2 linked regions of the Oryzias latipes genome follow. The protein of the gene in region 1 purifies or fractionates together with the protein of each later gene. This does not show direct contact. Links are inferred from orthologs where the notes say so. Each region holds a gene or a part of one and is shown on either strand. Other genes may lie near its edges.

Region 1 (8,220 bases):
ACACTGCCATCATTATAATGGCAGCACTCAGTAGCCAAGAGGCATGGAGGTAAAGGACGCGGCGCTGCTGCCGATCACACCATGGTTCTGCGAGAGCTGCAACTTTCAGCGGCCGTTCGTGAAGGAAAGCTTTGAGATTGATAAAGATGCACAAGAATGTGATTTGACGCTGTGTCCTGGATGTTAAACAACAGTTTACTCTATCGCCCAGACCAAATGGAGGGAAATGTTTTTAAAGCGGTAACGTACATTTGACCACAACCTTCCTGAAATGTTTTTTACCATTAAAAAATGTGTAAACGTGCGGCAAATCTTTTCAGCACTGTTGGGAACACCAATAGCATGATGGCAACACTAACTGGGATCTTCTGAGAGACTGGTAGCTGGACTTTGTTACTTCAGAGCACCAGTTTAGGCGTTAAACTAAAAAAGTAAATACACGTCCAACATTGCTCTTAGTGGGAGGTCAGATCCCATTCTAATAATGCTTTCATGCATTAAAACATCTAAGCAATTAATAGCTAAACGTCATCAAGCGTAATTTATAAATAATGTACAGATTTACATTAAAAGAGACTTCCAGTTGAAGATTTTATGACATATTCGGACTTCCAAACGTATAAATCATTCACTCCTGACAGATGTTGCTCCTACTGAAGCCGGATGTCTTCAGAGACATGGTGCCTTCCTAAACATTGTCCTTCTGGGTCAAAAACAAACCCTTAGTGGAACTGATTTCTGAAACAACATCCTGGGTTTTTGGGACATAACGATAACTGTTACGGCTGAGCTGATATTTAAAATGCATGAATCTGGTATCAAGCTCTGGTATCAAGAAATTATTGAAAGTTTTATCCAAACTTAAACTTCAGACATGATCAGTATGAAGCTGAGATGGGCACTTGGACTTAAATCACACCGACGGTTTACATGCAGAGACTTGAGACTTGACTTGAGACTCAAACTCAAAGACTTGACAATTAGGACTTGTGAACAATGTCAATTTGTTTGTTCTTATTTTCTTTTAGCTCCAGGACGTCACTCGAGTCTAAAACAATTTTTTTTGTAAATGTATAAAGCTTTTGTAGAAACACCAACTTCCTGTTTTTTGTCCCGAAAACAAGCTCTTCAAAAGCAGTTTGTGACCATGAAATAGTCACTTCAGCCTTATGTTTTAAGACTGGACTTGCAGCTAAATTGACTTGGATTTGCCACCAAAGACTTCAGACTTAACTTGAAATTAAATGCAAAGACTTCAGACTTGCAAAAAGGGAACTTGTGAGCATCTCTGCTGTAAGGATCAAAGGATCTTAGATGGGAAAATGTGATGTTTTGACATGCAGGGCTTTAGTGTGGTTGATTTGCGCAACCTTGCACACTAAAGAATGATAAATCCATGTTTCATCATTTTCTATTAATAAAGCAGTTCCTGGTTCTCCACAAAGAAATTGTGTTTTTTGTTTACTTTTCTAGCTTGCTTTTAATTTAGCTGTAATGCACTATGTACTAGGGTTGGCAGAATGTGGTCCTCAAGAACCACAACCCTGCCTGTTTTCTAGCTCTCCCTGCTGAGTCAAGTGATTCCACATCCCGATTGGCTGGACACATCTGATTTAGGTAGTCAGCATCAAGCTGTCCAATTCTAGATGACTGAAATAAGCATCACAATGGTTATGTGGTGGAAATCATTTAGAATAAGACGAAGAATAATAATAATGAAAGTTATGCATGATGTACGTGCAGTCGATTAGAACTGGGTCCAACTGACCCATGGACTGGTGCTAGTTTGGGACCCGGGGACCAGTGTTTGAGGTCAGAAGTGTTTTATTTCCAGGCAGATTGCATCCAATACAAAAAAAACTAAATAATTCTTTATGAAAGACAGTATTAATAAGTACATATTTAATTTTGCTTCCATATTTGGCATTGTGAATATCAAAGACAGCGTTTGCAGAAACAAATGAAACCCAATCTTGCGTTTCAGATTTCCTCTCTCAGCATTAACAAAGCTCCCTGAGGGACTCATGAAGCTCAAGAAACGAGTATTGAACAGCTCTGCGTATCGACTGCACCAGAAAAGCTGCTCCAGAGGTTTCATAGACAGGCATAAAAAGAAATTTAAAAAAAGAGTTACCCTGTCCTTCATCCTCCAGCTCTGTGCCAACGCCTTGGAGCCTTCGATCTTCTCCAAGTGTCTTTTCTTCATGAAGGTCAAGGGAAGCTTCCAGTCATTCATGTCAGCCTCCTCTTCCTCAGCCAGGCCCACAGCCGGCGAATGAAGCAAGTCCGAGTCCATTTTCATGAGGGCCCTGTGGGAGAGAGCTTATGTTAGCCGCGCTGATGTGGTTCCTCAGGCTGCTGGATTTCTATCAACACCAACAAAATAGTTTGACATTGTTATTACACAAACTGTCCGCTAATATTTAACTCATCTTTGTCTCTCAGATTTGAGCAACACTAGCCAACTACTTTTGTGGTTAAATCATAATTGACTAGAAACACTAAGGTTTTATAGAATATAATACTTCATCTCAATAGGCGTACCCCAGGGTTCCGTACAGGGACCTCTTTAGATTTTTTTATTTAAGACAACATAATGTGGAAAATCCAAACTATTCTGTAAGTCATGACATCATGACACCAAGGACTCACCAATGAACAGATAAAAGCTTGTTATTTTTAACACCATGTGAAACTTCCATGCTTCTTCCTCATTGCATTTTGTTTTTTTCAAAAAACCCTAAACCCACTTTCAGTTCTTTTTTTATTTCACCAAAACGTTAGTAGACAGTCTGGTAGTTATTTTACTAACACGGATTTTGAGTTAGTGCTAACCTTCAGTTATAAGAAAACTGTTACTCAAAATAAAGCTAAAAACATTTTGTTTTTAACGTAATAAGTTACAATCTCATTAATAAAAAAATCCACTTTTCCTCAGCTCAAATCACTAGTTATGTGAAAACACCTTTTCATATTTAAAGATAAAATGATTATTTAAATGATAAATAATAAATCAAAATGTGTTGAATTGGAAATTGAATAGAGTTGTGAACTTAAAATTGTATTAAATTCCTTGTTTTGGCAGCGGTACCCAGCCATAGTGACTTCCACTCATCATCCCTGCCAGGTGACAAAAACACAAAACTAAGTCTTTGTGGTTGTTTTACAGCAAAACAGTTGGTCTTCATAATCAACCTCCTCAGTTATCGCCTCCCAAGATGCTCCAACATTTTTGAAACAACAGAAAAGAGGGACTGGAAAAGAAGCAGGACTGGGTTTGGAGAGTCCTGAAGTTTGTAAATGCTTCATTTCTGAACAGATATCTTGGTTTTTCCCAATTTGCATTTTCTATGGCTTTTTTTTTATCTTTTACTTTAAGACACTTACCATGTTTCTATAAAGTCTGACGTACAACACAAACAAAAAAGCTACAACACAACTCTTTAAAGACCGAATCCCATGATCTTGTGGCATTTTCTAATGATGGAGAACATTTCTATTGAAAATTCAGCTTAAAATGTCATTTTTTTCAGTATTTCAAATTGTTGTGAATCAGAAGCAACTGAAAAAAAAGCAGTTTGAAAAATATCACGTCAATGTACATGCTCAGTTTTCCTCGTCTGAGCTGGAATCTGGCTCCAAACTGTACAGCTGGATGGCTTCAATATTGCTCGCCATTTTTGTCGCACCTGTAATGTCAGGTTGGGGGTGTGAGGCTAGCAGGACATCGTGTAAACTGATAACTCTCAGTTATGATGGGAAAGGGGGTGGGGGTTGCTCTGTGCCAACAGTCCCGCTTCCAACTCAGAGGCGAATTTGTAATGAACTCCTGCTGCTCTGCAGAAACTACATCCTAGAAAACAACACTGTTTTTTTTTTGTTTTTTTGGCTAAGTATGGCATAATTATAACTAAAAAGACCACTGGGAATACTTTTAAAATAGATCACAAGATGATTGCAGTTGGACTTTAAGGGGGATTATGGACCACAAATAAATCAAACATCACTGAAACCTGCAACAAATATTTTGAAATCTCTGAGACAAATGAAGAACGTGCAATTAATTTTAAAATGACAGACAGAGCAAAGCGACTGTTAGGAATGAATAGTTATTCTATGCTTGAGAGATACGGTGTTTTATCCACAGACCAACACTGGTAGGAGCATGTCAGCAAACATCTACTGTTGTCCATTCAACTTTTGGTTCCTCTCCCTGCCTCTGCAGGAACCTCTGAGGGCAGAATGTGTGTTCATTTGGCTCTCTCATTCACAAAAACCAAACTACCGTTCCAACTGAAACAAGTAACTTTCAGAAACTGATTTCACTGACGTTACAGGCTGAAGGAAAGCCTCTGAAGTCCCGTTTTCTGCTGAAGTGACATCGCTTTCATTGAGGCAGTTCCTGTAGTTCTTATAAGTCAGGTTTAAAGCTCTGCTGTGAAATCCCCTTCTTACAATACAAACAACGTCACATGCTAACAGTAAATAAACATCGAGGTATTTGACATTAGTTCAAAAAAGGGGTATGATCTCAGGGGGATTTACACCTGGATGACGTCTTCATAACAGGTTAGGTGGGAACACGCCTGCTGCTCAGCTGTGAAGAACTCTGCCCCAAGGCTGACGGAGCAAACGGGAGCTGGAGGGTCCAGTTAGCTTAATGCTATCTGTCCTCGCGCGCTTCAGTCAGCCCGTGTCCAGTCGCCGTCACTTCTCCTACAGCCTCCCACGGCTTTCTGAGCGCTAACTTAAACGTATCCACTGCGAACCCCGCAGAACACCGAGACGGAAGGGGTGTACAGACCCAGCGAGCAGCTGCATACCGAGTCGGTGCGGCGGGATTATCAGCCCGGACAGGGGAAGCTCTCCGTCTTCTCCGGGCGATGACAGAGAAGGTCGCGCAAATAATCCTCGCGAGGAAGTTGTAGGGCAGCGTCCACAGCCGATACAGGAGGTCGAACCCGTCGAAGGCGAGCTGGACGGGGGTGTGCTTGCAGGGGAATGTTCGGCTCCTCTCCCCGCGGCTCTTCGCTATGGGAAGGGGTTGGAGACGAGGCCCATCTTCACACGGACAGTCTGCCACAGCCACGCTAAGCACCAGCAAAACTTATAGATGACGGTGGTCCTGCCTTGTTCCTCTACAAGCCAGCGACCATGCGAGCCGATTCGGCGCGATAATTCTGTCAGAAATCACAAAAAATCCTAAAAACTTCTCCGGAGAGGCACTGCTTCAGCACTACGGCAAGGGCGCAGCCATCTTGGGTAGGACCCAGAATGCACCGTTAAACGCCACCGTTGCTTTTCCTGTGACGCTAAAAATAAAATAAATAACTGGACCACTGTTCAATTATCTTTAGTAAAGAAAAGTACTATTCTAAATAACGTTTTAAAAAGGAAAAACAATTAACAACAATAATTATAAAAAAAAAGTAATATTTTTTACCATCGTGTAAACTTCCGGTTTTGGATTGCCGTCCAATTATTATGGGGTAAGAAAAAAGGCTAACAAATAAAATATTGAATTTGTTTTATTAAAATATGTAGCCATTCATAAACACATTTTAAAAGTTGAACGTCACAAAGCCAGCCCCCCCCCTCCCCCTAAATGTTGATTTTTTTTTTTTTTGTTGTTGCGTAAATTAAACATTTTGTTAACTTTGTGAGGCTTAGTAATAAAATTTAAAAAGTTCAGCACACAATAACTAATAAGCACTGTTGAAGATTTTAACAGGCAAAATTTTATCAAGCAACGAATGTTTGCAGTGAACAGCATTAAACTTACAATCAGTATGAAGATACTAATTTGTATCAATAACTCTTGTGGTATCTTGTGGGGTCCAGATGACCCCACCCTTACATTGGCGTGTTATTCCTACCATGACAGAGGTGGATAAAGGTGAAGAGGATTTCATGAATCTGTTTACACCAGTGAAGATCAAAAATCATGGAAGAAAAACCTGGAAAACCTTCAAACAAATGTGAAAATTTTAGACCAATAACCTGACCTTGAAATAATCTGTAAAGTCTTATCAACACAACTACAGAATACATTGCCAAGCATTATTGATAGAGACCAAAATGGATTTATATCTGCAAGGCAAGGATTTCACAATGTGAGAAGAGTTTGAAATATTATTCATTATAGCACAAATAAAGCATAAACAGGTTTACGAGCACTGGATGCTCAAAAGGCCTTTGACAAGGTCCATTGGCCTTTTCTCTTTAAGGTCATGGACAAATGTGGATGTGGAACCAACTTAAAAATGTGGGTCCAGATCATTTACAAAAATGCCATGGCAAAAATCTTGACAAACAGGAACACTTCACAGTCAATAAACATAACAAAAGGCTGCAGGCAAAGGTGTCCATTATCACCTATGCTATTTACAATGCAATCGAACCACTACCAATAGCAATACACTCCCATACAGGGCTACATAGAATCGGAGTGGGTCCAGTAGAACACAAAATAGCTTTACAGTATATGCAGATGATGTGATTGTGTTTCTCTCTCAAATAAAAAAGTCAATTCGTTCTTTAATGGAAATAATCAGAAAATATGGAGATGTCTCTGGATATAGAGTGAACCAAACAAAATCCTCTATTTTATTACATAATGAAGAAGAAAGAAAAACCCAACTTCTGAAACAATTCTGTTGTGTGGTGAAACCTTTTCCTGTCATTTTTTGCATGCTTTTGTGTTGAAGTTTGTTTTTGATGGAGGAAGTCTTCTCTGATTTTTGTTTGCATGCTTGTATGGTGGAGTTGGTTTTTGTGTTTTGTGTTGTTTCACCCCCATGAAGACTGGGTCCCAGATTGGACACCCAGGTGTGTCCAATCAGTAAGCTGATGGCCCCACCCATAAAGCTGCACTGGCAGCAGGAGAAAGGAGGAAGAGCAGCTGGTAGCCGTTGAAGGACACAGCACTGGAGCAAACTGTGTGGCTGGAGCTGCAGTCAGTGTAGGAGTCTTCTCCAGGACAGGAGTGCCACAGCGCGACGTACACTCATAGGCAGGGTGAGGAGCCCTGCCGGTGTGTAGATGTTGGGAGGAACACCCCACTGCGCCTGCAAAGGGTGGACAAAGACAAGACTGTGGCTGACTACAAGACCTGTCTCACTGGTGTTTCATGGACTATTTCTTTTAATTATTTTAACAATGTTTTTATGAGGTCCCTCTTTCAAGTTTTTACTGTTTTTACTACCTTTTTAAACATTTGGTCTTAGTTATTTAGGTTTTAACCGTTCGGGCTTTGTCGTGTTGTGGCTGCATGTTTTTATTGGATTAAATTATTGCAGTTTAAAAAACAATTGTTCCTTGGGTTTTCTGTGTGGCGCTCTTTCCCTGGTCCTGAATCTTTTGGGTGTAGCAATTTAACCGGACCCCCCTATTTGGCAAAGGTGGGGCCCGACAATTCAATTTAATGTTGTTGAAAATTTTAAATATTTGGGAATCAATATCAGATCAAGACTAGAACAGGTAGTAGAATCAAATTATGATCCTTTAACTGGAAAAGATAAACGGTTCCATAGAGAAATGGATGACACTACCAATATCAATTATGGGAAGAATACATATATTAAAGATGAGTGTAATCCCCAAACTAATTTATCTGTTTCAAAACATACCTCTGCCACCACCTCTAGACTTATTTTCAAAACGAAAGAGAATTTTCACTAGGTTCGTATGGAATAACAAAAAAGCAAAACTCTGTTTGACATTACTATTTCTTCCCTTTGACAGAGGGGGACTAAAAATTCCAAACATTGAATGGTACCACTGGGCTGCACAGATTAGATCTATAATGTTTCATTTTACTGTCAAAAACACTCCTCATTGGGTTGAAATGGAATCCCAGGATCTAAAGCTGCCCCTCCTGTTATTTCTTAATTCAAACACCTCAAAAAAGCTACGCAAAGAGACAAAGAACCCAATTATTAAACACATGAACCAAACTCAACCTCTGTCACAATACAGCCCAATTTGGGGGAACAAATTCTTCACCCTTGGAAGAGCGGCTGCCACCTTTAAAATATGGGCAGCAAAGGGTCTTTCCACCATCTCGGACTTATATATTCCACATTCTGATGTAATGATGTCATTTGAAGAGTTAAAAACTAAATATGAGTTGAGTAAAAAGCATTTTTATAAATTTCTCCAGGTCAGAAAACTTTTTAAGAAAAACACAGAAGATCCTCAATAAACCACCATGTTCTATTT
Region 2 (7,952 bases), on another chromosome or scaffold:
CACAGTTTCGTGTGTTTTATTTTTACATACTGGAAACTGTTTTTAATCCTGATTTTGTCTCATATTAATTGTGCAGCACTTTGTAATCTGGATACCGAAAAGTGCTATATAAATAAAGTTTATTATTATAAATATTTAACAGCATGCGCATACATATTTAATTGCACTTTCATTTGCTAAACTGATCTAATTATTGAAGTAAATTGAATGGAGGATTTTTAAGTGTTGAAATATCAAACAATGAGAAAAATAAATCAGATTTTATCTTGTTTAAAATAGGAAATGATCCAAAAATGTAGATATGATTTCAACATTTTATTTGTTCTGTTCTGCATCTCAACAGTCAGTCAAATTGTTTTGTCCCCACACAAACTGGGTTAATGTTTCTATCAACCCCCCCTCCCCTGTATTTAAAGACATTTTTAAACGATTTACTAACTTTGATTTTGGTTTTTTCTTCCATAAATCCCTTTTCTGTTTGTATTTTACACAAAAAAAACATCATTAGATGTTCAAATTTGAGAATTCCAGAGGAAATGTGACACGAAATCTCCTGTTGTTGATTGTAAAAGCAGAATTCTGTCCGTTTTCTGTCTTCAGATGGGGGAAAGCAGACAGTTCACCACCTCAGACGGACGGCGAGGACAGAGGCTGGAAGTGAAGCTCTTCGATGACGCCGTGTCCGGCTTCCCTCTGGTCTGGTGGGTTGAGATGCTGTGCAGCGGCCGCCTTGCGGGTTTGATTTCCGCTGACCTCTGCTTCCTTCACAGCTGGGAGAAGGAGAGCATTCAGCTTCTGCAGACGCTGATTCCCAGGGAGGCGGGTTAGTCTGTGGATTTTTTTTGTTTTTTTTGCCTTTTGTTGAAGCTTCTGGGGGGGGGGGTGCTTAACATAAATGTCTGAACTCCTCTCCAAGTGCTCTTCGTTGCCGATGCAAAGATCAGCTTTGACAGCTTTCGTGGCGGCATGGTGGCAACCGTCACCTCCAAAAGCGTCATCACTGTCAACCCCGGTAAGAAATCCCATCAGCGCTCTGTAAAAAAAAACACCCCCGTTCTCTGCTTGAAGAAAGTGTTTCCAGTGAGAAACCGAACCACTTCCTGTTTGTTTTAGACACACGAGAGGCCGGCCTGCTGTTCAGCTTCGCCAAGCAGATGTCCGAGTCCGGAGCTCTGGACCACGACGAGGCGGCCGAGGATCTGCCCGGTGGGTTCTGTCCAAAAACAATAAACATCTGTTACCCTAAAAAAAACTGAGCAAAATGCTGTTTGTTGTCATTTCCTTACCCTTCAAAATAATCTCTTTTTTAAATTAATTAGGCTGAACATGAATTACAAGTAAAACCCCACTCTGATTATCTTTTGAAGTATTTTCAAAGCGTCACAAAACTGGTTTTGTAGGACACAGTTGGTGCAGAGCCAAAGTAGTTCATATTCACCTCAGACCTGTGGGCGGGACCGTCGGTGCAAAAGCAACCCCGCCCCCCACTTTCCGTCTCCATCTGTTTACACGCTCTCCTGCTAGCTTACAGCCCCTCCCACCTCTAAGCCGTCCAGTTCAGATCCAGATTCCAGCTCAGGCGAGGAAGACAAAGACAATCCTGGATCTATCTGTCCAAAATCAGAATTTCCAACGTCACCATTTTTTTTGTCTGCTCCTGATTCAGTTAAATAAGAAATACTCAGAAACTTTAAGCTTAAATGTCTTTATACATGTCCTGCATCATCGGAAAAAGGCCACAAGAACATGTTCCAAACAGCAAAAACACCGTTTTCATGGGAGGGGGCCCTTTAAGGGATTCACTGCTGTTAGTAGGACAGTTTGTGCTTCATAAAAACAAACAAAAACACCACAAATGCTTTTGAAAAGTTTCATTTTAAAGAGTATTTGACAGAGATGCTCAATTATATCATTCATATTTAAAAGGATGTTATTATTTTCCTCTGTTGTCTTGTCTTTTTGTGTCTAATAAAAGAAAAATCACATTTGAGGTCTTTAAACTAAAATTCTAATCAGTCACTTTGTGGTGAACTCCACAACAAAGCTAAATGCTTTATTATTAAATATAATACATTTGAATAATTATTAAGAGGATCCGTAAACCAAAAGGTAAATCATTCAGACTCCATACCCGGTTGTTGATAAGAGTTGGTGTTTGTTTGTTTTTTGTGGCTTCATTTTTGCGTGTTTGTGTTTGTTTTCTGCCTGCAGTGGACTCCATCACTGACGTTTACACCGTCAACCAGCTGAAGTTGAAGGCCAAGGAGCAACCGGAGACTTTCTTCGGCCTGACTTACAGCTTCATCTCCAAGCTGGACCTGGACTCCTCTGCCTCTAAAGTCATCAAGACCCGCTGGTACGATCGCACCAAAGTCACGGCCTCCTTCTTTCCTTCCATCTGTCCGTGCTTCGATTTGGGCTTTTTTCAGCTCTAAATGTAGGTTCCTGCTGACGGCGGACATGCAGAGCTGCGGTAACCAGCTGTGTCCGGGCGGGGAGCAGCCGTTCTCAGGCACCACAGGCTTCGACCTGCTGGTGGACCTGACCGACCACACCGGCACGCTGCAGGCCTGCAGCCTCCGGGGCGCCACGGCGGAGCAGACGCTCGGCTGCTCGGTCGGTAACTCCTCAGAGGCTGAGGGGGGGGGTCAGCTCCAAACTGCTGAGATCCACAGACTTCTCTTAAATATGCTGCTGCCTGCTTCCAGACGGACGAGTTCATCCGTCTGACCGATGATCAGCGCACCGCTCTCAAGTGGAAGTTTCTTCTGGAAAGATGCAAAATATACCTGAAGGTATTCCAGCCTTCAAAAGGCATGTTTTTTTTTTTTTTGTCTTTGTGATGTGTTTTTATTGTTCATGAGATCGTCTGCCGCAGATCCTTCCCTCTGCGAGAACGAAAAGCGGCATCAGGGGGGTGATCCTGGCCTGCTCTCCGGCCGACCCAGGAGAGGTGAAGCAGCATATGTCGGCTGTTCTGCAGCAGCTTTGAACCAGCAATGCGAAGTCTGTTCTATTTACATTTGTTCTGCGCTAATTACAATGTAAACAGATGCTTCAACTGTTATTTATTTATTTATTCTTATTTATTTAACTTATTGATATAAATTGATTTATTTAAAAAAAGGCGTTAAATTGTTCCTGTTTAATAAAGTTGTGTTTTGAAAAAAAATTCTGATTTATTATCACAAAATACAATTAAAAAAGAAAAAAAAAACAAAAGCAACTGTTATAAAAAAAAGTATATTTAAAATAAAAAGAATGATGTAGATTTTATGTAGCGACAATAAATGCTTTATTTAAAGCAATTTTAACCATAAAAAAAGAAAAATATGTATTAAAATTTTGAATTCATAAAAATGATTAAAAAGAAATAAAACAATATGTTTAAATATTTTTTGACATATTACTCTGAATCATAAGGAGACATATTTGCACATTTATTGTAATGATTGCCAAATAAAAGTTGATTAATTACCTGAAAGAGTGTGGGAAAAGGCGATTTTATGATTCTACCTCTATTATGATTTATTTTTTATTATTATTATTTTACATCGTTGCATTCCTGCATTTAAACAATTTTTTTTTCAAAGCGGAACGTTTGACACACTTCTGTGTTTATCGGGGACGCGTTAGTCAGACGTACCGCAGTCGCGAATGATGGCTTCAGGAAATCTGTAAAGCGAATTCTTATCAGATTTTTAGATGTTTTCTCACATTCAGATATTTTTAAAACGGCTTTTCTTTAAAAGAGTTAACTTCAAAAAGCTTGAGCTGACGTCGTTGGCCGATCGTTTGGACCGAGTTCGTCAGATGTAACTAAGTGGACTGACGGGTTCTGGTGTTGTTTGTAACCGTGACACACTAGCGGAGAAGCATGAATGTCAACCAGGGCACGGTGGGCAGCGACCCGGTTATCCTGGCCACGGCTGGATACGATCACACAGTCCGGTTCTGGCAGGCCCACAGCGGGATCTGTACCCGGACGGTGCAGCATCAGGACTCGGTATCCTTTCCCTGGTTAGAACGGTTCGGTGAGAGCTCTCTGTTTACATGCGCTACCGCTGGCTTACAGCCGCTCACACCCCAACCTGACGAAATGGCCCCCAATTTCGGAGCTTTACTGAATTGAAAAACAAAATTATGACTTTAGTCTCGTAAAATTTTACATTTTTATTGTTGTTTATACTTTTACAAATTTATTAGTGTAATTTTTTTTTACTTTTTAATAATAATTTTACTACGGAACGGTATTATGTTAAATAAAAATAAAATACAGGTGACCTTTGCTCTAACTTGTTTGACATAATCCGTTTTTGTTTTGTTTTTGTTTGATTCACCACACACACTAAAAATAAAACCATCAACTGTTAATTAAATGCAATAGGCTTAATATTTTACAGCATTATTCTCATACATAATATGTATTTTGTTGTAGAAAAATGCTATAAAAGGCATATATATGCTAAATACCTCAAAAACGCGACTTTCGGAGTGGGCCTTTAACTCGTCATTTCAGCAAGTGAATTCCCTTGAAGTGACCCCGGACAGAAGCATGATCGCCGCCGCAGGTCAGTCCAAACTCTCCCATTTGAAGGCTGCGCGGCGTTTCACTGCGCGTTCCTCCTCTTCCTCCTGCAGGGTATCAGCACATCCGCATGTACGACCTGAACTCCAACAACCCAAACCCCGTCATCAACTACGACGGAGTCAGCAAGAACATCACCTCCGTGGGCTTCCATGAGGACGGACGCTGGATGTACACCGGAGGAGAGGACTGCATGGCTCGCATATGGGACCTAAGGTACGGCGGTTCACCTCCACCGCACACCCCGGCAGAAATCCACTCTGCTGTTATCAACCCTCCTCCTTTCAGGTCAAGAAACCTGCAGTGTCAGAGGATCTTCCAAGTAAACGCTCCCATCAACTGTGTGTGTCTTCATCCCAATCAGGTATCCTCAAAGCTGCACAGGTGTTTGATGTGGATTTATCTGTAGATTTGTCAGCGTTTTGTGATTTTTCTTTTAGGCGGAGCTGATTGTTGGGGATCAGAGTGGCGTGATTCACATCTGGGACCTGAAAACGGACCACAACGAACAGCTGATTCCAGAGCCAGAAGTCTCGGTGAACTCTGTCCACATCGACCCCGATGCCAGCTACATGGCAGCCGTCAACAGCTCGGTGCGTCCCCAAACTGAACATGGGACGCAAAAACTGGGGTTGGAGAGAAACTAGAGTGAGGTTCCTGTTCCCCCCCCCAACAGGGAAACTGTTACGTGTGGAACCTGGCTGGAGGGATGGGAGACGAAGTGACGCAGCTCATTCCAAAGACGAAGATCCCGGCGCACAAACGATACTCGCTGCGCTGCAAGTTCAGCCCCGACTCCACGTGAGGCTTTTTGTTGTTTCTGCCTGACGTGAGGCCAAACAGAAAAAAAACCTCATTGATGTTTCTCCTTGAATGTCTCCAGACTACTGGCCACCTGCTCAGCGGATCAGACCTGCAAGATCTGGAGGACGTCCAACTTCTCCCTGATGACGGAGCTGAGCATCAAAAGCAACAACCCCGGGGAGACGTCCCGAGGCTGGATGTGGGACTGCGCCTTCTCCGGAGACTCGCAGTACATCGTTACAGGTGCGTACCTTCACCTTTGGGTCTGTCCCCTTGTCCCGCTGAGTTTTTAAAGTTAAAAATGGCATGTTTTAGCAAACTTTAATATAAAATTAAAGCCGTAAACGGCGTTGCATGACCTGCAGAGGACACTGCCCCCTTTTGAACCGCCTTCACCCTCCCCTTCTGCCAGTCTGGTCACAAATTCATGAAAGAGAACACTTTTATTCAAAAGTGCGGCTTTTCTGATGGTTTTATCTCCATGGCAACCATTTCAGTTTTTGGTCACCGCGGGGTGACGAACAGGTTTCGGTCATTTTTAGAAGAATCTGCAAAAGTAGATTTTTGGATTTCCTTAGCAACGTAGGATTTTTGTTAACCACACCCACATTTCTTATATGTTCATATTGTTTGTCATATCGTTTGGTTCAGCTTGAGCAGAGGTGCGCTCCATTTTCTCAATATTCCGGTAAAAAATGCGCCCACAACAGGAAATCGCCACTTTTGTGAACTCGCCGTTCAAAATCCACAAACTTTATTTCCAAAATTCCAATTAGTTTCCCAAGGACACCGCTCCAGGAGTCAGGAGGCGATTCTTAGGAGGAGTTTAAATTTGTAGCTGGGACTAAACGGGATAAATATGTATTTTTTTACAAAATTCAAGATGGCAGCTTCTTCCCGAGGTCAAAGGTCAATGAAACTTCAGCTCTTGTTGAAGACTTTTGAATTGTAAATTGTAGAATAAATTGTAGACGAATGTGAAAATCACCAAACGTCACTCTCTGCCACACAGTGACCACCAAGCCGTGGCACCTGTGGCCATCCCATAATAATTAAAAAAACTTCCTTCCAATCTGGTCGTCGTAGTCCAGGATTATTGCGGGGCGGAGTAATAATCCCGGTTTTTATCATTATCCAGCTGTTTCTTTAATGTTAGGAATCAGTTGAAGCAGAAAAATGGAGGTAAAGTCGCGTTTTTGTTCCGCAGCGTCTTCAGACAATCTCGCTCGTCTGTGGTGCGTCGAGACCGGCGAAATCAAGAGGGAGTACAGCGGCCACCAGAAGGCCGTGGTGTGTCTGGCCTTCAACGACAGCGTGCTCGGCTGAAGAGGACGACGGACGCCGTCAGCCGGAGCTGAACCCGCTGCTCAGTTTTGTCCAAATGAAACCCGGAATCGTTCGGCACAAAAATTCAAATCCAGAGGGTGACCGTTTTATTTTTTTTTAATTTTGTTGTGAATCTGTTAGTAAGAAGGAACATTTCCCAGGATATTTATTAAAAGCAAAAGGAACGCTGTCATTCCCGCTTCCCGCCTGGAGGAGGCGCTGCGGAGCTGCTTTCTCATATCAAGTGAAGAGAAATAAAAGCTGTTCAGAAAATCTGCTTTCAAATAAAGAGAAACGAAACCAAACAGTGTACATTTTATTTGACAAAACATCATAACATTGTGAGTACAAAAAGTCACCAGAGAGGAGGAAAGTTGACAGCTTGACTAGCTGGTTCTCAGGATGGACAGGGAACCAGGAAGGTTGATGGATTTTTGGGGAGGAGAAGCAGAAGAAAAGGGAAAAGTTTAGCTTTGCAGGGAGGCAGCGGCGTCACTCGGGCAGGTAGTAGAAGCACACGGAGACGCAGATGTTGCTGGGAAAGCAGATGTCGATGCAGAAGTAAACCAGCCGCTGTTTGCTGGGACCTGCAGCCGAGAAACCAGAAGCAAATATTGCATCTTTTTCTGCAACGGCTGCCTTCATATCAGTCTGTGGTGTTTGCTCCGAGTATCTCAGGTGAGGAAAAGCAGCCAGAGGGGCGGGGCCAGTGATGTCAATCTGGTTTGAAGGTCTACATGTTCCTTTGTTATACTTTCTTTTTAGGAGATTTGAAACATTTCTTTGCCTTGCTACTCTAAAGACAGCTGATTACTTTTGTCACACCAATGTCCTGAAGAAATAACACACACAAAAAAAAAACCCAAATAAAGGGCTAAAGTTGAGAAATTGCTGGGAGGAGTCTAGAAAAGGTCAGCAGCAGCTTTATTGTCTCTCTAACATCTCTGATACAAACTCTAAGCTTTATCGAGTTTGACGTTTTTGGGACTATTTTTTGTGGCGGATTACTATTTATTTGATTCATTTCATAGTTGTTTGGCAGGAAAAAACGACCAAACCACAGTTTGTGTTAGCTTTGATGTGGTTTCAGTTTTTCTAGAAACTAGTGGATAAAAATAAATTAATTAAAAGCTGCGTGCGACCCCACCCCTTTTGACACGCCCTCATTGGCTGAGCAATCGCCCCTCCCCCTCCCCTTTTTTATTTTCAAAATGACGGCCTTTCTGTTGGTTTT

What was found. The genes of interacting proteins can lie anywhere in the genome.
Region 2: the proteins of rptor (region 1) and mlst8 purify together in Homo sapiens (affinity purification with western blotting; 15 studies listed by BioGRID and IntAct, with this or other methods). This does not show direct contact. The link is inferred for Oryzias latipes from reciprocal best matches to the Homo sapiens genes RPTOR and MLST8.

Annotation. Positions count from the first base shown.
Region 1 is NC_019859.2:4,709,073-4,717,292, forward strand, and holds the start of rptor (regulatory-associated protein of mTOR), read right to left. Parts: upstream 5,286-8,220; 5' UTR 4,822-5,285; coding exon 4,805-4,821; intron 4,720-4,804; exon of another isoform or gene 4,565-4,719; coding exon of another isoform or gene 4,548-4,564; intron 2,312-4,547; exon of another isoform or gene 2,310-2,311; coding exon 2,135-2,309; intron 1-2,134. UniProt on the Homo sapiens protein: Component of the mechanistic target of rapamycin complex 1 (mTORC1), an evolutionarily conserved central nutrient sensor that stimulates anabolic reactions and macromolecule biosynthesis to promote cellular biomass generation and growth.
Region 2 is NC_019877.2:3,129,548-3,137,499, reverse strand, and holds mlst8 (target of rapamycin complex subunit LST8), read left to right. Parts: upstream 1-3,628; 5' UTR 3,629-3,877; coding exon 3,878-4,006; intron 4,007-4,519; coding exon 4,520-4,571; intron 4,572-4,641; coding exon 4,642-4,804; intron 4,805-4,876; coding exon 4,877-4,952; intron 4,953-5,028; coding exon 5,029-5,181; intron 5,182-5,264; coding exon 5,265-5,389; intron 5,390-5,471; coding exon 5,472-5,635; intron 5,636-6,599; coding exon 6,600-6,718; 3' UTR 6,719-7,023; downstream 7,024-7,952. Other genes in the region: meiob (meiosis-specific with OB domain-containing protein), read left to right, coding at 601-701, 771-823, 917-1,012, 1,114-1,206, 2,212-2,356, 2,430-2,616, 2,709-2,795, 2,879-2,992; bricd5 (BRICHOS domain-containing protein 5), read right to left, coding at 7,211-7,305.